Linked DNA regions of Pelodiscus sinensis. The protein of the gene in region 2 purifies or fractionates together with the protein of the main gene of each other region. This does not show direct contact. Links are inferred from orthologs where the notes say so. Each region holds a gene or a part of one and is shown on either strand. Other genes may lie near its edges.

Region 1 (11,755 bases), on a different chromosome or scaffold from region 2:
CCCACTTGGGAGGGACTGAGATACCTGCACAGCTTCAGACAGTTCTATTCTGAAAACCATGAGAAATTTATTTCTCTACTTGCCAACTTTATGGTTTCCCTTCCCTCACCTAAGAGAAAGATGGAAGCTCAATTGCTTAGGACTAAATTAGAAAATAGCATAGGACAGAATCCTACAGTGACTGGGTGAAGTAATAGTCTTTCCATCTCTAGTTTCTGCCACACAATTCTGAGCACAATGAAGTAACCTACAAAAATCAGAGTTTGTCTGATATAGTAAAACATTTACTGAATTTCCATTTAGAAATGAAGTTTTTTTCCCCAGTGGTACCAAGGCACAGAAGGGCTGTGCCCACAATCTTGTATTATTTCACATATCTAAAAAAGATTTAGCTGTCCAGTTACAATAGTGCATTTCTGCAGTTTTCAGGAAACATTATTTTACTTTAACAAGTGCCACAAAATATTACAAAAAAATTCCAGATGTGTTACTTGGTTTATTTCAGCCTCTCTTTATGTAGAAAAAGGTGCAGTTTTCCAAATCTCAAAGGTCTTTCAAAGAACCAGCCATGTAGCCAAGGTAAGTCACTAAAAAAAAAGCTTTCCACTTCAGTTACAGGTTTCAAAGTATTGTCATTGTTTATGCATATTACTGAGTCCAGATTCTGCTCCCCATCAGGTCAATCAGAGCTTTTCCACTGATGTAGAAATGAGCAGGTCCTTGCTGATTCCAGATAACTGAAGTCAACATTCAGTCTAGACCAGTGGTTTTCAATATGTGGCCCACAGGTCCCTGGGAATCCACAGACTATGTGTAAGATTTTCAAAGGGTGGGAGGTAGGTATTTTTGCAAATGCAAAAAGACTGAAAACCACTGATCTAGACTCAAATACAATTCTGCAGTCCCCTTATTTTTTCTGGGCAGAAGATTTGGTAGGCTTTATCCCTTTTGTACACATCACCAAAAGAATGCAAATATCAGTTATTTTATGACTGACAGCTTAGAAAACACTGAACATTTTTTCTACAGATAGTAAAACAAAATATCACGTTTTGTTAGCACAATCATTTCTTATTCACTTAATATAAACCACTGGGCTGCGTCTAGACTGGTATGATTTTGCGCAAAAGCGACTGCTGTTGCGCAAAAATCTTGCCGCCTGTCTGCACTGGCCGCGAGTATTTGCGCAAGAACACTGACTTTGTAATGTACAAAATCAGTGATTCTTGTGCAAATACTCTGATGCTCCTGCTCAGGGATAAGCCCTCTTGTGCAAGTATTCTTGCGCAAGAGGGCCAGTGTAGACAGCAACGTTAATTTCTTGCGCAAGAAAGCCCGATGGCTAAAATGGCCATTGGAACTTTTTTGCGCAAGAGAGCATCTACACTAGCACGGATGCTTTTGTGCAAAAGCAAATCTTTTGCACAAAGGCACATGCCAGAATAGACGCTCTCTTGCGCAAATACTTTTAATGGAAAAACTTTTCCATTAAAAGTTTTTGCGCAAAATCATGCCAGTCTAGACACAACCCTGAGGTTTGACTCAAACTCCACTGATGCTATTATAAGAACGGGGGCTCCCCTAGCATCAGTGTAATATATCTCACCTGTGAAGCCAGAGAATTTCTTTGGTGATGGATTGGGGGCAGCTGGTAGCTCCTTCTTGGGAGTGGTTATCTGCCCACTGGGGGAGAGCTTGGCTTGGACTGTTGCTTTTTTCTTAGGTGTGTTTGCAGCCTTGGAAGTAGCCTCTGTGGAACACAGTAAGAGGTAAAGCATCTGCATAAGTGATCTAAGACAACCTGTAAACCCTCAACAACAAAATCAGGTAAGTAACTTACAATACTTTGAAATAAGCAACTTTTGTCAGAACTTACAAATAGCCAACACACGGAGAGAGGGGATAGGTAGTTTTATTTGTAAAATGTCTACTAGGAGCTCAGTAATGAGCCCCAGCTCAAACAGCAAAATAGAGCTGACCAGGGCTCCTAGTGACTTGCACTTACAGCCTACTCCATTAGCCTTGACACTAATTGATAGGGTTTTTTCCTCTCACCTCCATTTCTTCCCTCTTTTTCGGCTTTATATTTCAAAATCTATGCCCTTTGCTCCATGATATGTCACCTGAAGAAGTGGGTCGTGCCCATGAAAGTTCACGATACTATTTATATATTTGTTAGTCTCCAAGGTGCCACAGAACCGTTGTTGGTATTTAAGTTTCATTAGAGAGTAGGGCTTCCTCCCTCCAGCCTTCCAGTGCTTGCATTCTGAGAGCATGTCTTAATTGCAGAGTTCACTCAGGCATTGGTTTAGATGTTGCCTCTAGCCCCCTCCCATCTGCACATAAAACACTCTCATGATCTTATTTTAAGCCTGGGTTTAGTTAGCCCAGCTGAGGGGATAGGCTAGACCAGGGGTGGGCAAAAGGGCCTCCTTAGGCCAGATCTGGCCGATGGAGGCCCTGCTGCTCTCCTGTCCCCAGGCCAATGAGGGCCTGGGGAGCATGCAAAGCCTCCTCCTGTCATGCCAGGAGCAAATGGTGCTTTGAAGCAAGATGGGGGCAGAGCGGAGGAGGCTTCATGTACTCTCCCACCCCCAGGCTCTATTAGGCCTAGGGGCAGGGGAACGTGGGAAGTCTCCTCCCATGCCAGGGGCATGAGCTACCTAGGGGCAATGTGGGGTAGCAAAGGCAGTTCCTCACCCCCAGACCAATCATTGTCTGGGGGCAGGGAACTTGGAAGTATCTTGGCCCCATCCCTTCCTGTGTGACATTTCTGAAGTGGCTCCTGACAAAAAAATTATTGCCCACCCTTGGGCTAGATCCTGGGTGCTACTTTCACTCCCGCTGGTAAAATATTTAAAATCTCCATACATTTTAAATATTTTACCAGCGGGAGTGAAAGTAGCACCCAGGATCTAGCCCAAGGGTGGGCAATAATTTTTTGTCAGGGGTTCTCTGATGATGACCTCTCAGGTGTGTATCAGAGAACCCCTGACAAAAAATTATTGCCCACCCTTGGGCTAGATCCTGGGTGCTACTTTCACTCCCGCTGGTAAAATATTTAAAATGTATGGAGATTTTAAATATTTTACCAGTGGGAGTGAAAGTAGCACCCAGGATCTAGCCCAAGGGTGGGCAATAATTTTTTGTCAGGGGTTCTCTGATACACACCTGAGAGGTCATCAAGTCCAATCCCCTGCTTTCGCAGCAGGACCAAGTACCATCCCTGACAGATTTATCCCAGATCCCTAAATGGCCCCCTCAAGTAGTGAACTCACAATACTCAAACCACTGAGCTATTCCTCCACCTAGTTTTCAGTAAGGATGCAGGCTAAGCTACTTCAGGCAGGGACTCTCTATTCTTTGCTGTTCCATGAAGCGACAATAATAAATCATGTGCATGCCGATAGTCCTGCAATGCCTTCTTACAGTTCCTTCCCATTGCATTCAAGGACAGACAAGTTCTCTCAACTCACTGGGGCTGTGTCCAGACTACAGCTGCGTTCTTTCGAAATTAAATCGAAAGAACGCGGCTTTTCTTTAGACGGCGGTAAACCTAATTTCACGAAGAAGAATGCCTTTTTTCGAAAGAGCTCTTTCGAAAAAAGGCGTTCTTGAATGCAAACAGGGCGTTTTTGAAAGAGAGCATCCAGACTGCCTGGGTGCTTTCTTTCGAAAAAGCAGCTTGCTTTTTCGAAAGGACTGGCTGCAGTCTAGACGCTCTTTTTCGAAAGAGGTTTTTTTAGAAAGATACTTCCGAAAAAGCCTCTTTCGAAAGAGGCTGGCAGTCTAGACATAGCCTGGGAAAGACTCATAGCAGTTTTTGGGATGCAGAGAAAAAGACAACTGCACTCATCACAAACCACTGCAATGCCCTGTGTGCAATGCCTCTATGGAGTAGAAATCACTGACGCCACATTTCCTACTGTTACAGCTGATAAAGGTGCAAGGCACAGTGGGTCTCCCTCTAGTGTCTCACCTGCGATGTGCTGGCTTATCATCTGTTTCTCTTCATCTTGGAGCATTTCCCAGCCCTCCAAGTCCGTGATGTCCTCAATCTTCTTCGTCGTGGCCCGAGCCCGCTCTAGTTTCTCGAAGACGCACTTGACGTGGTACCACTCCTTCATGTCGCCCCCCGACTCCGAGAAGGGGTTGGGCACCACCTTGCCGATGCGCACCATGCCCTTCAGGAGCTTCTCCTTGCACTTCCTGCAGCCGGCGGTGCCGCGCTTGGCGTAGTCCACGCAGAACCTCTGCTCCGCCATGACCGCGGGGGCCGCGCAGAGCCGGCGGGGCCAGAGGGGCGCGGCTGAGGGAAGAGCCCGGTGGCGGCTGGCGGGAAGGGGCTGACCCAGGAGCGCGCTGCCCGCGCGCAGGCAGAGCCCGGCCCGTCGGCTCAGCGCCCGGGCGGCCGGCGGGAGGAGGCGCTGGAGGGCAGCGGGCATGCGGCGCGCGGCCCTCGGGGACAAGGCCCAGCGCGGAGCCCTCAGAGCCGCGTTACACCGCGGGGGAGGGGCGGGGCGGGCCGGGGGCGCCCCTCAGAGCCTCGCGGCTGTGCCAGCGGGAGGGGGCAGGGCTGGGCAAGGAAGGGAGTCCTCGCTGCGGGCTCGGAGAGCGACCGGCCTAGGCCAAAGCCGCGTGCGCCGCGTCCCCTTTAAATCCGGGACTCGCGGCCGGGGCGGGGCCTAGGATATGGCGCATGCGCACGGGCTCGTGAGCCACGGCGGCTGGGCCGGTAGCAGGGCCCCGCCCCTCGGGCCCCGTAGCGTGGTGGGCCGCGCCTCGCACGGAACAGAGACCCCGCCCCTCAGCAACTGCCTTCCCAGAGACCCCGCTGAGAAAACCCCGCCCCTCACGAGCCCCGCCTGTCACCACAGACCCAGGCTAACCTCGTTCCCCTCACCACAAGCCCCGCCCCTAACAACAACGCCCACCCCCTCCCAACAAGCCCTGCCCCTCACCTAGTCACCCTGACAACAACCACGCCCATCTCTAGTGACCCTGCCTCCTCCAGGCAACCCCCCATCTCTTCACAACCCCTCCCTTGAAAGTAACCTCATCCCCTCAGCACAGACCCTGCCCCTCACAGCAAACCCCTCCCCTCAGCACAGACCCTGCCCCTCACAGCAAACCCCTCCCTCAGCACAGACCCTGCCCCTCACAGCAAACCCCTCCCCTCAGCACAGTCCCTGCCCCTCACAGCAAACCCCTCCCCTCAGCACAGACCCTGCCCCTCACAGCAAACCCCTCCCCTCAGCACAGACCCTGCCCCTCACAGCAAACCCCTCCCCTCAGCACAGACACTGCCCCTCACAGCAAACCCCTCCCCTCAGCACAGACCCTGCCCCTCACAGCAAACCCCTCCCCTCAGCACAGTCCCTGCCCCTCACAGCAAACCCCTCCCCTCAGCACAGACCCTGCCCCTCACAGCAAACCCCTCCCCTCAGCACAGTCCCTGCCCCTCACAGCAAACCCCTCCCCTCAGCACAGACCCTGCCCCTCACAGCAAACCCCTCCCCTCAGCACAGTCCCTGCCCCTCACAGCAAACCCCTCCCTCACCACAGACCCTGCCCCTCACAGCAAACCCCTCCCTCACCACAGACCCTGCCCCCAGACCCTGCCCCCATAGAGACCCCCCCTCAGCATCATACACCTGGCCCCTCACCACAGACCCTGCCCCCATAGAGACCCCCCCCTCAGCATCATACACCTGGCCCCTCACCACAGACCCTGCCCCCATAGAGACCCCCCCTCAGCATCATACACCTGGCCCCTCACCACAGACCCTGCCCCCATAGAGACCCCCCCCTCAGCACAGACCCTGCCCCCATAGAGACCCCCCCTCAGCATCATACACCTGGCCCCTCAGCACAGACCCCATCTTCCTTATAGCATGAAACCTCCCCCTCTTCACCAGAAGCCCTAGTCCCTCATTCATATGTAACCCCTTTTTCCTCCCTGGGATACTTGGGAGCAGGTCACAGCACAGGGCCTGATGGGCTTGACATAAAAGGAGATCCTGAGTACCCCAGTGGTGATGTTGTTTGGTTGGGGAAAACCTCTCCACCCCCTTGCTGCTGTCCCTTGCTCATAAAGAATGTACAATGGTGGTGCCTCCACCTGGCTGGCCCTGTACACACGGGTGTGCCTTGGAAGCCTCTAGGAATAAACTTATTCCAGCAATAAACTGGATCTAACTCCCGAACAACAATTACAAATCATAAATAATATACATCTAATAGATTGCATTAGAATGAACAACCTTTACTTAACTTAAAGAAACAGGATTTAACAAATTAACAGTGAATAACATTAATTAACAAAGTACACAAAAGTAAAATGAACTTATCTAGCTACCAATATTTATCCCACCCCAGTGTGCACACCCCTGGACTCAGAGTCCCAAATTCTTGCTTGCATGGGCGCGCTTGAAGAACTGCAGCTATAATGGAGATTCTCTGTAGGTAGTGTGTATGTGGGTCCAAACTATGCCGCAGCTCTGGTTCACTGGGTTGGCCTCTCTCCTTCTCTTTGAACCCAGAGTTAGTCTGAATCTCTGAGGTCTGTCCCAGGCAGCATTTTCCCAAAGATGCCCAGTTACTCACAGTCTCCTTTTATGTGCTGGATGCAGAGTAGCTGCTAGACACAAGTACAGCCAAAGGACCTCCTCTCTTGGGCAATCAAAAGCAGCCTGCTAGATCCCAGTTCCAAAGGCTTGCTGTCCCAGTCTGTAACTGCAACATAACAGCTCCTGAACTGTATCAAACTCCCTGGCTCCCTTTCTGGTCCAAAAACAGAGGGGCTGTGCCTACATTAGCATCCCTTTTCCGGAAAAGGGTGCCAATGAGACAAGTCGGCATTGCAAATGCCGCGGGGGATTTAAATATCCCCCGCGGCATTTGCATGAACATGGCTGCCGCTTTTTTCTGGCTCGGGGCTTTGCCAGAAAAAAGCGCCAGTCTAGACGAGATCTTTCGGAAAATAAAGCCTTTTCTGGAAGATCCCTTATTCCTGATTTTAAGAGGAATAAGGGATCTTCCAGAAAACGCTTTATTTTCCGAAAGATCCCGTCTAGACTGGCGCTTTTCTCTGGCAAAGCCCCGAGCCGGAAAAAAGCGGCAGCCATGTTCATGCAAATGCTGCAGGGGATATTTAAATCCCCTGCGGCATTTGCAATTCCGACTTGTCTCATTGGCACCCTTTTCCGGAAAAGGGATGCTAATGTAGACACAGCCAGGGAGTCCACAGACTGCTGAGTCTTTCTCCACACACATGGAGAGACTCAGCTCTCCCCATCAAGAGTCCTTCCTTCCTGTTTTTCCCCAGGGCTCATGGGAATTGTAGTCTGTGAGGTTAGATTGCCACACACAGGGTCTTCCCAGAAAATAAGCAGAAGCACCTTTAGTAAGGTGACTACACATAGATTCCAGCCCAGAGCAGTCCATTGTGATCATTGAGTCTGGTCTCCTAGTACAGGCCAAAGACTTGCCCCAAAATAATTCCCAGAGCAAATCCTATAGAATCCTGATTTAAAAAAAGGGTCAGTAATGAGACTCTACCATGATACTTGGTAAATTGTTCTAACAGCTAATTATTCTTACTGGGAAAAAAATGCCTTATTTCATATCTGATTTTGTCTACCTTCAGCCTCCAGCCACTGGTTCATATTAGACCTTTCTCTACTAGACTGAAAAGCCCCATTATCAAATCTATATTCCCCACATAGGTACTTACAGACTGTGATCAAGTCACACTTCAGCCGTTTCTTTGTTAAGCTAAACAGATTCAGCTCTTTGAGTCTATCAGCATAAAGCAGATTTTCTAAACCTTTAATCGCTCTTGTGGCTTTTCTCTAAACCCAGCCCTCTCCAATTTATCAACTTTCATCTTGAATTGTGGGCACCGGCACCGGGCATGGTTTTGCAGCACCAGTGCCAAATACAGAGGTTGAAATAACCTCTCCCTTCTTTCTTGAGATGCCCCTATGTATGCATCCCAGAATCTCATTAGCTCTTTTGGCTACAGCATCAAACTGGGAGCTCATGTTCAGCTGATTATCAACCATGACCTTATCATAGAATCATAGAGCCATAGAGCTGGAAGAGACCTCAGGAGGCCATCGAGTCCAGCCCCCTGCTCTAGGCAGGACCAATCCCAACTAAATTAACCCTGCCAGGGCTTTGTCAAGCTGAGACTTAAACACCTCTAGGGATGGAGACTCCACTACTTCCCTAGGTAACCCATTCCAGTGCTTTACTACCTTCCTAGTGAAATAGTTTTTCCTAATATCCAACCTGGACCTTTCCCACCACAACTTGAGACCATTGCTCCTTGTTCTGCCATCTGTCACTACTGTGAACAGCCTTTCTCCAGCCTCTTTGAAACCTCCCTTCAGGAAGTTGAAGGCTGCTATCAAATCCCCCCTCACTCTTCGCTTCTGTAGACTAAACAGACCCAACTCCCTCAGCCTCTCCTCATAAGTCATATGCTCCAGCCCTCTAATCATTTTGGTTGCCCTCCGCTGGACCTTCTCCAATGCGTCCACATCCTTTTTGTAGTGGGGGGCCAGAACTTGGCTACAAGGGCACACTGTTGACTCATATCCAGCATCTCATCCACTGTAACCCCAAAGTCCTCTTCTGCAGAACTACTACTTAACTGGTTGGTCCCCAGCTTGTAACTATGCTTGGGATTCTTCCATCCCAAGTGCAGGACTCTGCATTTGTCCTTGTTGAACCTCATCAGATTTCTTGTGGCCCAAACCTCCAATTTGTCTAAGTCACTCTGGACCCTATTTCTGCTCTCAAACGTATCTACTTCTCCCCGTAGCTTAGTGTCATCCTCAAACTTGCTGAGGGTGCAATCCATCCCCTCATCCAGGTAATTAATAAAGATATTGAACAAAACCGGTCCTAGAACTGAACCTTGGGGCACTCCGCTAGAAACCGACCGCCATCCTGACATCGAGCCATTGATCACTACCTGCTGGGCCCGGCCTTCTAGCCATCTTTCTTCTAGCCATCTTACTGTCCATTTATCCAATCCACATTCCCTTAACTTGCTGGGAAGAATATTGTGGGAGACCGTATCAAAAGCCTTGCTAAAGTCAAGGTATATAACATCCACTGACTTTCCCACGGCCACAGAGCCAGTTACCTCATCATAGAAGCTAATCAGATTGGTCAGACACGACTTTCCCTTTGTGAATCCATGCTGACTATTCCTGATCACTTTCCTCTCTTCCAAGTGCCTCAAAATGGATTCCTTAAGGATCCCTTCCATGATTTTTCCAGGAACCGAGGTAAGACTGACTGGCCTATAGTTCCCTGAATCGTCCTTCTTCCCTTTTTTGAAGATGGGCACTACATTTGCCTTTTTTTCAATCGTCCGGGATTTCTCCCAATCTCCACAACTTTTCAAAGATAATGGCCAAAGGCTCCTCAATGACATTTGCCAACTCCCTTAGTACCCTCGGATGCATTAAGTCCGGACCCATGGATTTGTGTACGTTTAGCTTTTCTAAATAGTTCCTAACCTGTTCTTTACCCACCAAAGGCTGTCCATCTTCATCCCATCTTGCGTCACTTAGCGCATTAGTCTGGGAGCAGACCTTGTCCGTGAATACAGAGGCAAAGAAAGCATTGAGTACTTCAGCTTTCCCCACATTATCTATCACTAGGTTACCTCCTTCATCCATTAGGGGCTGCAAACCCTCTCTGATCACCTTCTTCTTGTTAACATGCCTGTAGAAACCTTTCTTGTTATCCTTCACATCCTTAGCCAGTTGCAATTCCATTTGTGCTTTCGCCTTCCTGATAACCCCCCGGCATTCTCGAGCTATACATTTAAACTCCTCCCTGGTCATTTGTCCAAGTTTCCACTTTTTGTAAGCTTCCTTTTTGTGCTTAAGTTCACCAAGGATTTCCCAGGTAAGCCGATCCGGTCTCCTACCTTAAAATCTTTTTGGGTATGTCTACACTACAGCACTAATTCGAACTAACTTAGTTCGAACTAAGCTAATTTGAACTAACGCATCCAGACTAAAAAACTAGTTCGAATTAGCATTTTGCTAATTCGAACTAGCATGTCCACACAGAGTGGACCCTGAACTGAGGTTAAGGATGTCCGGAAGCAGTGCTGGCAGGGCATCAGATGAGGACTTAGAACGTGGAGCTGCTGTCTCAGGCTAGCCGAGGGCTGTGCTTAAAGGGACCCGACCCCCACCCCGGACAGACAGTTCTCAAGGGGTGCCCCGCTTGCAAAGCAGTCCTGGCTTGGATTGCCCGGAGTACCCACACTGGGCACATCACAGCACTCGGCCATCAGACCGGCTGCACTTGCCGCAGGCTGCCATCTGGGGAGAGGGGGCAATTGGGGGGCTGCAGGAGAGGTTCCACCCCCAGAAGCCTACAGAGCCAGCCCAGTCCTCCCCATCGGGGGCTCGTACCCCATTCCTCCCTCACCTCCTTCCACTTAGCCCTCCCTAGCCGCCCTTCCTGATGTACAAAATAAAGGACAATTGTGTTCAAAAATAGAATCTCTCTTTATTGAACAAAACTGGGGGAGACTGGGGAAAGGAGGTGGGAGAGGGGAAGAGAAAGGGTGGGAGAGGGGAGGGCAACTAAAATGATCAGAGGTTTGGAACAGGTCCCATATGAAGAGAGGCTAAAGAGACTGGGACTTTTCAGCTTAGAAAAGAGGAGATGGAGGGGGGATATGATAGAGGTCTATAAAAGCATGAGTGGGGTGGAGAGGGTGCATACAGAAAAGTTCTTCATTAGTTCCCATAAAGAAGGACTAGAGGACACCAAAGGAAAGGAATGGGTAGCAGGCTTCAAACTAGTAACAGAAAGTTGTTCTTCACAAAGCAAATAGTCAACCTGTGGAACTCCTTGCTGCAGGAGGCTGTGAAGGCTAGAACTAGAACAGAGTTTAAAGAGAAGTGAGATCAATTCATGGAGGTTGGGTCCATGGAGTGGTATTAGCCAGGGGGTAGGAGTGGTGTCCCTGCCCGAAGTTTGTGGAAGGCTGGAGAGGGATGGCACGAGACAAATGGCTTGGTCACTGTCTTTGGTCCATCCCCTCCAGGGTTCCTAGGGTTGGCCGCTGTCGGCAGACAGGCTACTGGGCTAGATGGACCTTTGGTCTGACCCAGTACGGCCATTCTAAGCTCAGGGCTCAGGGTCGGGGGTCACAGTGGACTACCTTGATTTTCATGCAAACCTGCTCCTGGGTGGCCAGGCTGGCAGCTCTCCTGCCCTAGACGGCTGCTTTCCTGTGCCTAGTGTGGAGGTCGTGGACGAGGTCCACGATGTCTGCACTGGACCAGGCGGGTGCCCGCCTCTTGCGATCCTGGGCAAGCTCCTGGGAGCCGCCAGCCTGGTCCCAGGAAGAGGGGGACGGCTGGGGGGCATCGGGTGGCTGGCTCAAGCCGTGCCAGGTGCAGGGTCTGCTGGCTGGGTGCTGGCAGGCTTGCACCTGGCACGGGCACTGTAGCCAGCCCGTGCCCCTTTAAGGGGTCCGGGGCCGGGAGGGGGGCAATAGAGTTTCCTTGGTGTTGGCCAGAGTGGCCACCAGGGAAAGCTGGGGAGGGCTAGCCTCCCACTAGTTCGAATTAAGGTGCTACACAGCCCTTAATTCGAACTAGTAAGTTCGAACTAGGCTTAGTCCTCGTGGAATGAGGTTTACCTAGTTCGAACTAGGCTTAGTCCTCGTAGAATGAGGTTTACCTAGTTCGAACTAAGCGCTCCGCTA
Region 2 (12,241 bases):
CCCTCAAACAAAGAGTGGGTATGACGGCTGGAATTTTCAAAATGTTGCTGTTGAACTTCTCAAACTCCCCCATCATTTCTCATCTTTCCTATTGGTCTCTGACTAAATGCATAGAGTCGACAGAGTGGTTTTTTTACCCACAAAAGCTTACGCCCAAATAAATCTGTTAGGCTGTGTAAGTGCTGGCGTGTTCTTGCACGAAAACATGCCATCTGTCTACACTGACTGTGCGTTCTTGCGCAAGTAAACTGACGTTGTACTGTAGAAAATCAGGGCTTCTTGCACAAGAACTCTGACACTCTCTCTCAGGAAGAAGCCCTCTTGCACAAGAGCTCTTCCAGAAAAGGCCAGTGTAGACACGCAACATGAATTTATTGCGGAAGAAGCCCCTATGGTTAAAATTGCCGTCAGAGCTTTCTTGTGGAAGAAGCTGTCAGTGTAGACGTAGCCTTCGTCTTTATTATGCCACAGGATTCCTTTTTGCGGATACAGAGTTAAAAGGCTGCACCTCTGAGACATGCTAATTATGCTGACTATGAATAAGACACTATGCTAAAGTATACCTGTTCTCTTCAGAGGAAGACTGGTCAAAAGGGAAAAATGTGAAGCACAGTCAAAGAGACAAATACAAAATGATGGTTCAGTGAAAAAACTCTAAGCAATTAAGGAAGTCTAAAAGTGAAAGGCCCAATTTCAATGCAACCAGAATAATTTCTTTTAAAAGTACTGGCTCCCTCATCTAACTATACCTTTCCTACCACCACAAATAGCAGATGGATTATTTAAACAGAATAAATGGAATATATCCATCCAGAAAAATAATATAGGCTACATCTACACTGCAGGCATCTTGCGCAAGAACTGTTTTGCGCAAGAGTTCTTGTGCAAAAGGTCCACAAGCGTGCATCCACACTGCCATGGATGCTCTTGCACAAATGCACATCTCTTGCGCAAGAGCGTCCATGGCAGTATGGATGCTCTCTTGTGCAAGAAAGCTCTGATGGCCATTTTAGCCATAGGGGTTTCTTGCGCAAGAAAATCATGTTGCCTGTCTACACTGCCTTCTTGTGGAAGAGCTCTTGTGCAAGAGGACTTATTCCTCGTGGAGAGAGGAATAACTCTTCCGGAAGAAGCCCTATTTTCTGACGCTGTACTGTAAATTTACTTGCGCAAGAACACGCATGCAGTGTAGACACCCAGCAAGTTTCTGCGCAAGAAGAGCTGTTCTTCCGCAAAAAGCCTGCAGTGTAGACGTAGCCATAGTGTTTAGCCCTCTGAATTGGAATTATGGCGACGTGCACCCCTCTCAGAGAGGGAACATTAAGTAATTTAGTGTATTAAAATGTACAGAACAGTGAAATAGTATTTACTTTCCACTGTTCACACATTTTCCTTTTTTTCATTCTACATCAAGTATAAGGAATCCACACTGATCAGTTTCACAACTTTTTCTAGTCAATTTCACTGTTCTCATACACTAGCACTACAGAAGTGTAAATTAGACATAGAAAGCAGCTGATCAAATTGTGCCCCTATTTATAACCTGCACAAACAAGTGGATTTAACTGAAGGACCCTTGAACTCTCTTCCAAATCTAAAACCAGTTAACAAAATACGTATAAAAGCTTTTGGTGAATTCAACACTATTTGCTAACTAAAGAAAGATACCATTGTGATTAAGCACTAAGTGCTAATATGGATAAGTGAAGCTGAGTAGAAGCCCTGGTCTACACTTTACATTTAGACTGACATAACTACCTCACTCAGGGGTGTAAAATTCACTCCTTCAACTCCATATTTCAGGCAACACTAAGAACTCCAACTTAAGAATTCTTCTACTGACCTAGCTACTGCCACCCAGTGAGATGGAATACCTGCAATGATAGAAACACCCCTCCACAGATGAAGGAAACATCTATACTACAGTGTTAAAGCAGTACAGTTGCACCACTGCAGCCATACTTCTAAACTAAATGTGTGAAAGGTTAACCAGTAAGCATCAGCTTAAATGGGTAATGCTTACCGATTCCACTTACTAGTAACCGGTGGGGGCTGCAGTAGCTTCCCACCTGCTGCAGGTGACCACTGTGGACAGGGGCTGCTCTCGTCCCAGCCCCCGCGAGGGAGGGACCCCTTCAGGCGCCCAGCCCTACTTCCAGCAGGGGGAGGGGCGCGGAAGGGAGGGGCAGGGACCAGCAGCCATGTGGGCTGCTCAAGCCAAGCTGTAGCAGTCCTCAGCTCAGATCATGCTTAGTCATTAACCAGTTAAACATTAGGTCAACCTAACTTAACATTTAACTTGTTAACTGATTAACTGGAATTTTACATCCCTACTCCAAATTACAAATCCCTACTTCAATAATTACAAAATTAAGATTGTTTAAAGATACCTATGAAGGGACAATGCCAAATTAAGTCGCATCTAAAATACTATTACCAGCTCATGGTTACAGGTATACTTCGAAGTATACTATTGAGAACATTGTTTCACTTTAAATGTGCACTCAATGCTTCAGAAATAGTGATTTTTCTGGAGAATGCCCTCATGTGTTCTAAAGCACTGTTTCTCAATGATGGGTTGTAGGCCCAATACTGAGAAGCCACAGGTGGGCTTGAAAAGTGAGTGTATCCTGCTCTCACTTGCAGAAGCAGCTCCTGCCCCAACAGGCTGAGCCTGATTCCACATTCAAGCGTTGTGAGCTGACATGCAGGAGGCATCCCAATTTCACCCACACATCAGAACAGCTAGATAGCCAGGAATCCAGCATGCCAGGTCAACAACACGCAGGGCCTTGCCCAGTGAAACTAGAACCACTGCGGAAGCATGCATGTGAGGCAGGGTTGCTCACTAACTGCCTCTAGGGCAGGGCCTCCCCTCCGCATTAGGCTGGGATTAAGGATGAAATATCAGGGCAGCATCAGGTACTACCACAGGTAGTCAGTGCCCTGACAGCATGGCAGTTGATGATGGCACCAGCCTATGATTTTACTCCCATTGCAGATGGCTGATCCTGGCCAAACAGTGAGAGCTGCAATCATCAGTATCTGCAGCCATGTAGGCAAATATAGTGGTGGGAGCCCACCAGGAGCTAAACCTGGTAGACTGATATTTGCAGACCCCTCACCTAGAGGATTCCTGGAAGGGCTATAAAACCTCATTTAATATGTTAATCCATTTAGCTATATGTTTAACTGGTTATCCAGTCCACCATGTTGCACCACTGCCAGGCTTAAGCACCCCTTTCCCGTGGTGTGCTGTGGATGGGGTGGGGGGCTGCTCTAGCCAAGCACCAGTCAGCCAGTTACCCCTTTATATCCCTAGTTCCTGGCACCTGTAATATCCAGGACATTCTGAGGGAAAGAGATAGTGGCATGCAAGCAACCCTATACAAGCCTGGACTGAGGCATCCGGCTGTTTCTCCCTCTGGATCCCTGACCTCGAACTACGGGGGAACAGGGAGGAGGATGTAAATATCTGGGAAGGGGCTGTGGGTGTCTGGGAAACAACTGGGAAAGGGGGCAGAGAAACCCCTATGAAACAATTCATGATTGAATACTTGACACCTGGGGGAAGGAAAAGATAGTGTATGTATTGTTACAATCAGACATATTTGCTGGCATAGGCATCTGATGCCTGAGAGGGGAAGGGGTGCAGAAAGGAAGCACCCCATTTAACCATCAAAATTTTGGCAGAGGTATGGGGAGCAGGGCAGTGAACCTCTTGGGTGTTACCACAACTTTCCTATGCTTGGTGACAAGTATTTTGAAATTAAAAAAATACAAAAAATAATCAAAACTGGCATGATTATGTAGTGTTTTGACAAATACAATTTGCAAAATTTTATAGAACTTTAAAATATTTTGCTCTGAAATGTTCCCCGCCCCCCCCACGCGCACAGAATTTAATTTCTTGGCACAGAATGTCTCCAGGAGTAGTTAGACCCCACATTTCATCTCATTTGGAGCAGAATCCAGACAAAGGTGTTGCTACAGAACGGGGCAATGCAAAACAGCACTGCCAACCCGTGCGAGGGATCAGTCTCCTCATGTTTCGAGTGTCTCTTAACGCCCAGCTCCCGGAGTCACGTTAAAAGGGAATCTCAGTTACAGCGGGGATAGGCTTGCAAAGAGGAGGGGGGCTGTGATTCCGCCTTCCCCCGCCAGGGGGTGAAGTCCGAGGACCCAATGGTCCCTTCCGGCCCCAGAAGCCCCCCCGGGATAATGTGAGGGGGATAATCGCTCCCTCACGGGAGAATCACAGCGCCTGGCCCAGCCCGAGGCGGCTCCCCGGCCGGAGACGGGGGGAGAGGGGAGCTGCAGCGGGAGCGGGGGCGGGGACAGGGAGCCCCCCCGAGGAGCCAGACTTACTCCCAACAGGGGGCCTCTTCCCAGCACGGTCTGGCCGGGCGGCAGCGCCAGCGGGCAGCCCCCGTCCGCGGGCGCGAGCTCGAAGCCCGGCATGGGCCCCGCGGGCGGGACAGGGCGCGGCCCCCGCTGCCCCTTTGCACTTTTCTTGAGCCAGGTCGGGAGGCTTCTCGCCCTTCCGCTTCCCTCTGGGGCGGCCAGCTAGCGGGCGCGTCTGGCTACCGCCCTGTGCGTTCAGATCGCCGCCCCGCCCGGAAACGGTAGTTCCCAACTCTCCCCCGCGCCGCCCGGCCGCGCTTCAGCGTCCCCGCAGGCAAACTACAAGTCCCGGCGTGCCCCGCTGCGGCGCATGCGCGGGGTCCTGTTTACCTTGGGAAGGGTGGAAACAAGCCCGTTCGAATGGGGGAGACGTTAAAACCGGCAACGGCGGGCAACGGCGCGGGGCCAGGTAGGGGGCGGACTGCTCCACGCGCCTGGGCCGGGGGCTGCTGCGGGGAGCGCTGGCTCCAGCCACGCCCTGGGCTGGGGAGTTCCGCAGCAGGGCCCAGGCTGGCAGCGGACGCAGGGCACCGTCTAACGCGGGCGGGAGCCACCGGCCCACAGAAAAGCCGCCAGGGCCACCCACACGTGAGCAGCCAATAAAACGAGCCCCTCGCATCACACTCGGCCCCTGGGGGCGGGGGGCTTCCCCCATTCCCCACCCGCGTCTACTCCTCGCCCAGCTCATGGGGGCGGGGGCAGCCTAGCCTGGGCACAGGGCATCGCCCACGGCTCGAGTGATTGCCATGGAGCTGCCCATAGGCACCAGTGTTCAAATCCCCACCTCACCCAGCATCCCAGCAGTGGTCGTCTCCAGCTCTCCTCCATGCCCCCCCGGCTGGCTTCAGTGTCGCCAGATGGAAGCTACAAGTCCCAGAGTGCCCACAGGCGTGGGGCCTATTTTCTTTAGCAAGCCACTGCCCAATAGGCTGTGAACAAGCCCATTCGGGTCGCACCTAGGGGCAGCAACACAGGGCCAGGTAGGGTGCACAAGGCACTCTGTACTTGCTCCACACATTTCCCTATGTGCAGGGGCGGCCTATCCATATAGGCAAATCGCCTAGGGCGCCAAGTTAAATGGGGTACCAAATGGTGACACAATATCGTTGAGGGGTTTGGAGGTGGGGGCACCGATTTGCAAGGTTCGCCTAGGCCGCTCCTGCCTATGTAGAATATGGGACACCGGGGAGGGGGCTGCCAGTGCTCAGAGTTTCAGCCTCACTGTGTGGGTGCAGCCACCAACACTCAGTGCTTCAGCCCTGCAGCGGAGTGGGAAGGGGGGCTGCTGGCACTCAGAACTGCAACCTTGTAGGAGGGGGAGGGGAGGACCACCACCAGCATGCAGAGCTTCAGCCTTGTAGTGGGCGGGGGAGGGAGGAGCAACCACTTGCGCTAGGGGCTTCAGCCCCATAGCTGGGGGAAGCCACTGGCACTCAAGGCGTCAGTGTTGCAGGGGTGGGACAGAAGCCACCAGTGCTCAGGATTCCAGCAGCCAAAGCTCTGACTGCTGGTGGCTCCCCATCCACCCTGCCCCACTGCAGCGATGAAGTTCACCCCCACAACATGCAGAATGGGGAAGGAAGGGGAAGATACCAGGCCCTGAGTGCTGTCAGTTCCTTCTCCCACCCCCTGCAAGGGAAATTTGGGATAATGTGCCCACTTTTTTTTTTTCCTACAAAGTCAGGACTGAAGGAGGCGGCCTTAAATAAGGGACTGTCCCAGTAAAAACAGGACAGATTGTCACCCTATGCTTGCAGCACTTGAACATATATCCTTAAGCATTAGAGTTATCTTGATAAAAGTTAACTGCATGTATAATATAAGTGACCCCTGCACTTCTTCACCCCTAGGATTACTCATGGTGGATGTGTGGAGACCATAAATTATGCAGAAAACCTCAAAGAAGAACAAACAGGAAGGTACTTCATGTAAAGAACGGACCATCCTTCCATCATCCAAAAAGAAAGAAGAAAGTCAGGAGGACTTTGTGGAGCTGCTGCCTCCAGAAGTCACCTTGAAAATTTTCAATGAACTGGACGTTCAGAGCTTATGCAAAGCTGCAATGACTTGCAAGAGCTGGAATCGCACAATTGAGAACAGTGACCATTTGTGGAAACATCACTGTTTAACTGTAAGAGCTGTCTGTCAGCGAGAGATAGACTTTGATCGAGGAAATGGATATTCATGGAAGGTAAATTAAAGGCCATGGACTGTCTAGCTTTGGGAACCTGGATAGCTTTGGGAATCAGTATTAAGATGTAAGGTTCTCTCCTTATCAGTATTTCTGATCCATCCACAGTGAAGAGAAAAATTAAAGTTATCTAATACCTGAAGCTTGTGAGCTCTCAGGGCTTGTCTACATTACAAAATTAAGTTGACTTAAGTCAGTGTACAAGCCACCAGTGGTTCACATGCACACTTGCTCCTTTGGTTGGTGGTGCATATCCCCACCAGGAGTGCTTCACCAACTGAAGTGGTACATAATAGGACACAGCTGAAGCCCACCAGCCTATGGTAACACTGGCATGGCACTCATTGCTGGCCCACTGTCAGCAGGGTACAATGGCCTCAGCTACAAGCCAGCATCTACAGCTGACAAGTGTAGCTATCATCACCAGAAAAGAGGACTACAACTAACAGCTCCCACTGGGGTTGATGGCCAACCAGCTGTGTCAGTTAATCAGTGTCTTAACTGCATTAACAAAAGAACTATACCCCTCGTGGAGTTAGAGTTATGTTGGCATAGAAAGTGACTTATTTTGGCAGAAGCAGTATTCTAATGTAGACATTGACATAATTAGGTGAATGCAAGTCATCTTGCATCAACCTAAGTACCTAACCTTGTAATATTGACCAGGCCTTAGTGACAGTGTCACAACAACCATCACAAATGGCAGTCTCTGAAGCTCTGAAGAGATGGCAAAACAGTACCATAAAGAAAAATTAATTATCCTCTGTTCCCTGATAATAGATCAACCAGTTCTTGGATGGAACATATTGAGAAAGGAGGGCAGTTTTACACACCTGGTTAGAGCCTTGCAAATCTGAGAATATCTACTTTATATATGCAGGTATCAGCAACCATGGATCTGGATGCGGATATCCACAGCTCATTTTTGCAGATGCTGTTGTGGATTCAAATTTTGTATTTAGAAAACCCTGCAAGTTTGTATCTGTATCCATGGAAAATGGATGCCAGGGATGTAAAAGGTTAACCAGTTACCTGGTAAGCATTAGGCTTACTGAGTAACCGATTAACTGGACTGCCAACCCCTGCAGCACAGCAACAGGCTGGCCCCAGCCACGCTGCTAAATATGTTGAGTGAAATCCTATCAAGAAAAACAGTAGCAAATTCTCACAAGTGAGCTGTTAAATATAGGAAGGCTGAAATATAGAAAAGCTGAAAGATTGAAACACAGCTATCCAAAGATTCTGAGTAACAGCAAAAACATTTAAATACATCAAAAGCAGGAAGCCTGCTAAACAACCAATGGAGCCACTGGATATTCAAAATGCTAAAGGAGAGTTCAAAAATGATAAGGCCATTGCAGAAAAGCTAAATGAATTCTTTGCATAGGTCTTCACAGCTGATAAGTCACCAGGAGCATATGATATTCAGCCAACAGTTCAGAAGGAACTTAATTATGGAATAACAGAATTACTGTATTATGTAACCTAGGTTTTGTCTCCATTGCCAGCTTTGCTGGCAGAGGGTATGCAAATGAAGCACAGATTAGCCTTTTGTTGTGCTTCATTTGCATAATCTATTCAAGCTGTTTTTGTGCAAAAAAAACAAAACAAAAAAAACCCCAGTGTGGACGTTTCCTTTTTGCGCAAATACACCTTTTTGCACAAGATCCTTATGCCCTTCTGGGAGAGAGAGAAAATGATATCCCCAAAGGATCTGAACTGAGTCCAATACTGTTTGACGTATTTATAAATGATCTGGAGAAAGGGTGACCAAATTTGCTGACAATACAAAACTACTCAAGATACATCCAAAACAGACTGCAGAGAGCAACAATGGGATCTCACAAAATTGTGTGACTGGACAACAAAATGGCAGATTAATTCAATCGTAGAATCCTAGAACTGGAAAGTACCTCAAGAGGTCATCGAGTCCAGTCTCCTTGGTCACAGCAGGACCAAGCAGTGTCTAGATCATCCCTGATAGATGTCTATCCAACCTGCTCTTAAATATCTCCAGTGATGAAGATTCCACAAGCTCCCTAGGCAATTTATTCCAGTGTTTAACCACCCGACAGGATGTTTTTCCTAATGTCCAACCTAAACTAGGATGTGAAGGACTAGTCAACTATTATCGGATAGTCAACAGGATAGTCGATTAGTCGCTCTCTCCCCTCTCCCCCCCTTTATCTGATAGTGGCAGCAAGGGGGGAGGAAGAAAAAGGGGTTCTTCAAAGCAGCAGCGCCACGTGGAGTCCTGAATCAGCTGGGGACTCCCCTACTGACTCTGGGCTCTGTACGGTGCTGCTGCTTTGAAATGTTATGAAGAGCCTGGTGCCAGGTTTCTTATGGCATTTCAAAGCAGCAGCACTGTGTGGATCCTGGGGTCAGCAAACCCAGGGCTCCACATACCGCTTTTGCCTTTGAAGTGTAACAGCAGCCCTAGGGTTGTTGCTACTCTTAAAAAGCGGAAGTGCACTATCAACTAATTTAATAGTTGATGCAAAAATGCATTGTCTATTCAATTAGTCACCTGATACTTACCATCCTTAACCTAAACCTCCCTTGCTGCAATTTAAGTCCATTGCTTCTTGTCCCATCATCAGATGCCAAGGAGAATAATTTCTCCCTCTTCCTTGTAACACTTTTTTAGATACTTAAACTGCTATCATGTCCCCCCTCCATCTTATTTCTGAACTAAACAAGCCCAAGTCTTTCAATCTTCCCTCATAGGTCACGTTTTCTAGACCTTTAATCATTTTTGTTGCTCTTCTCTGAACCTTCTCCAATTTCTCCACATCTTTCCTGAAACTTGGTGACCAGTTCTATTCACAGTAATCCAGTTGGGGCCTAATCAGTGCAGAGTAGAGTGGAAGAATGACTTCTCATGTCTTGTTCACAACACTCCTGTTAAGGCATCCCAGAATCATATTTGCTTTTTTTGCAACCATGTCACACTGTTGTCATGTTTAACTTATGGTCCACTATGACCCCTAGATCCCTTTTTGCAGTACTCCTTCCTAGACAGTCACTTCCCATTCTGTACATGTGAAACTGATTGTTTTTCATCTAGCCCAGGGGCGAGCAAAGGGCCTCCGCAGGCTGGATCCGGCCCCGGAGGCCCTGCCACTGTCCCGCCCCCAAGCCAATTAGGGCCTGGGGACCATGCAAAATTTCCTCCATGCTGCCAGGAGCATACAGCACTTTGACATGCCACACGCTCCTGGCAGGATGGAAGGAGGCTTTGTGTGCTCCCCTGCCCCCAGGCTAATCAGAGCCTGTGAGGAACACGCAGCACTTAGAAGTGCCATGCATTCCTGGTAGGGTGGGAGGAGGCTTCAGGGCCTGGGGGAGAACACGAAGTCTCCTCCTGCCCTCCCAGGAGCATGTGACACTTTTAAGCCCTGTGCAGGGTGGGAACAGAGCAGAGAAACTTGGCACACACACCCAGTTCTGATTGGCCTGGGGGTAGGGGAACATGGGAAGTCTCCTCCCAACCAGGAGCATGGGTGTGCAGGGGAAAGGGGGGAGGCAGGTACGCAGGCAGGCAAGCAAGCAAGCAAAGGTGCTCCCCCCTCCCCAGACCAATCTTGGTCTGTGGGTGGAGAACCTGGAAGTATCCCAGCCCCCTTCCCCCCCCCCCCCCCTTGAGGCCAGGGGCCACTTCAGAAATGTTTGAAGTGGCCCTTGGCAAAAAGTTATTGCACATCCCTGCTCTAGCCCGTGCTTCAGGAGCAAATTGCAGTCTGTAATGGCCACTCATCATTGGGTGTGGACCTGCTGCCTTTTCCTATCCTGGCTGCCTTCCCCCCCCCCCCCCCCGCTTTCATACTCTCAGGCCTTGCCTCAGGTCCTGCAGCCTGGGAGTGAAGTCAGGCCAGAGCTCCTCAGCTCTGCCTGCCTTTCCCAGCACTGATATCTCCAAGAAGCCTTCTGCTTCCCAGGCAGCCAGGTCCCTCCTGCTCTGCAGCCAGAGCTATAGTAAGTCCTCTGTCCCTCAAGGAGCCCTTTATATAGCCCCAGCTGGGCCCTAATTAGCAATAACTGCCTCAGCCTGGACTTTGCTCTCAGCCCCCACTAAGGGCTGGGTTTTTGTCCTTAATGGGCCAGTACAGGGCAGACGCCCTGTGACACCATTCTTAAGTACTTATGACTGCTATAGCTTCATACTTAGCAGATCAGAGAAAGAATGATTCAGACATTGCAAGTACAACCCTGAACCAGCACAGGTTTGAAAGTAAGGAGGTTACAGCCACCTCATTTGGGGCCGTAGGTCTACCTCCATAGATCACTGAAACAGAAGCAAGCCATTTCGGATTTACTTCCTCTCAGAGGAAGGAGTGTTATAGAAGTTCACTATGAGGCAAGAACTCACAAGGAGGCAGGCAGGCATGTGAGCAGATGGAGAGGTCTGAAGAGTGGACACACTGAAATCCAAATATTTCACACCTTTGTGACACCTGACTTCATTAAGCAAACATCACAAATCCTAGTCCAGGCAGTCTCTAGTTATATGGCTATTTCCAAGTCTTCCCAGATTCCTCTCTTAGGGCATGTCTACACAGAGGTCTAAACCCAAAATAAGCTACACTATTGGAGCTATGTCAATTGCGTGGCTTAAGTCAAAATAGCTTATTTCGGCTTTTGGCGCTGTAAACACAGCAGGAAGTAGAAAGAGCACTCTTCCTCTGATTTGCCTTACTTCTCATACAATGCAGGTTACAGGAGTTGGAGTAAGATGTCCTCCAGCTCAACATTATTCCAACATTATGTCGAAATAACTGCTTGCTGTGTAGACACAGACTATGTTATTTCAGAATAACTGATGTTAGTTATTAACGAAATAACACTGCTGTGTAGACTTCCGTTTATCCAGGGTTGAGGTCACAAGCTACATGTGTCAAAAACTCAACACCTTAGTATCTCCCTACATGAGCTGGAACTCAGCCACCCTGTTACAAGGGTACCTGACAGTTATTTTGGTGCTCTCAGGATAAAGAAAAAAATAGCAAGATTTTAAAAGTTTTCCTTTAAGGTGGGTATTTAGCCTGAGAGTGGGGATGAGAGGCAGAAGATTTGAGAAGTAAGAATAGTCCTCATGTTACACTGAAAAATGTGAAAACGAAGCTCTGGGCCACACTGAAAAATGTGAAAATGAAGCTCTGGGCCACTAGAGGGCATTTGTACACCTGTATACTGCACTGAGGTCCCAGACACCCAAGTGTGTTGTAATATACAGGCAGTCCCCGGGTTACGTACAAGATAGGGACTGTAGGTTTGTTCTTAAGTTGAATTTGTATGTAAGTCGGAACTGGTACATATTGTAGGGGATACTCTAGCCAAACATTTCTCCAGAGCTCAGTTTTATTCTCCCACACCTCACTTCCCTCAGTCCTTTATTCTCAAGCTGAGGTGTCTGCTGTGAAAAGCCGCTCTGCGTCTCCCTGGCCTGCTGGGGGAGGGGGCGCTAGCTTCGCGTCTCCCTGGTCTGCTGGGGGGAAGCAGCTAGTGCGGGGTTGCCTCAACCCATTTGTAAGTAGGGATCCGATGTAAGTCGGATCCATGTAACCCGGGGACTGCCTGTAGATGCTTTTTTGGGTGTAAAACTTCAGTTCTCTCAACTTCTAATGTTTGCTCTGACTTCTGCTT

What was found.
Region 1: the proteins of APLF (region 2) and LIG3 purify together in Homo sapiens (affinity purification with mass spectrometry; 3 studies listed by BioGRID and IntAct, counting the BioPlex papers as one, with this or other methods). This does not show direct contact. The link is inferred for Pelodiscus sinensis from reciprocal best matches to the Homo sapiens genes APLF and LIG3.

What each region holds. Positions count from the first base shown.
Region 1 is NC_134731.1:17,266,312-17,278,066, forward strand, and holds the start of LIG3 (DNA ligase 3), read right to left. Parts: upstream 4,768-11,755; 5' UTR 4,446-4,767; coding exon 3,980-4,445; intron 1,751-3,979; coding exon 1,607-1,750; intron 1-1,606. UniProt on the Homo sapiens protein: Isoform 3 functions as a heterodimer with DNA-repair protein XRCC1 in the nucleus and can correct defective DNA strand-break repair and sister chromatid exchange following treatment with ionizing radiation and alkylating agents.
Region 2 is NC_134713.1:181,606,654-181,618,894, forward strand, and holds the start of APLF (aprataxin and PNK-like factor), read right to left. Parts: upstream 4,609-12,241; 5' UTR 4,462-4,608; coding exon 4,369-4,461; intron 1-4,368. Other genes in the region: FBXO48 (F-box only protein 48), read left to right, coding at 6,290-6,595. UniProt on the Homo sapiens protein: Histone chaperone involved in single-strand and double-strand DNA break repair.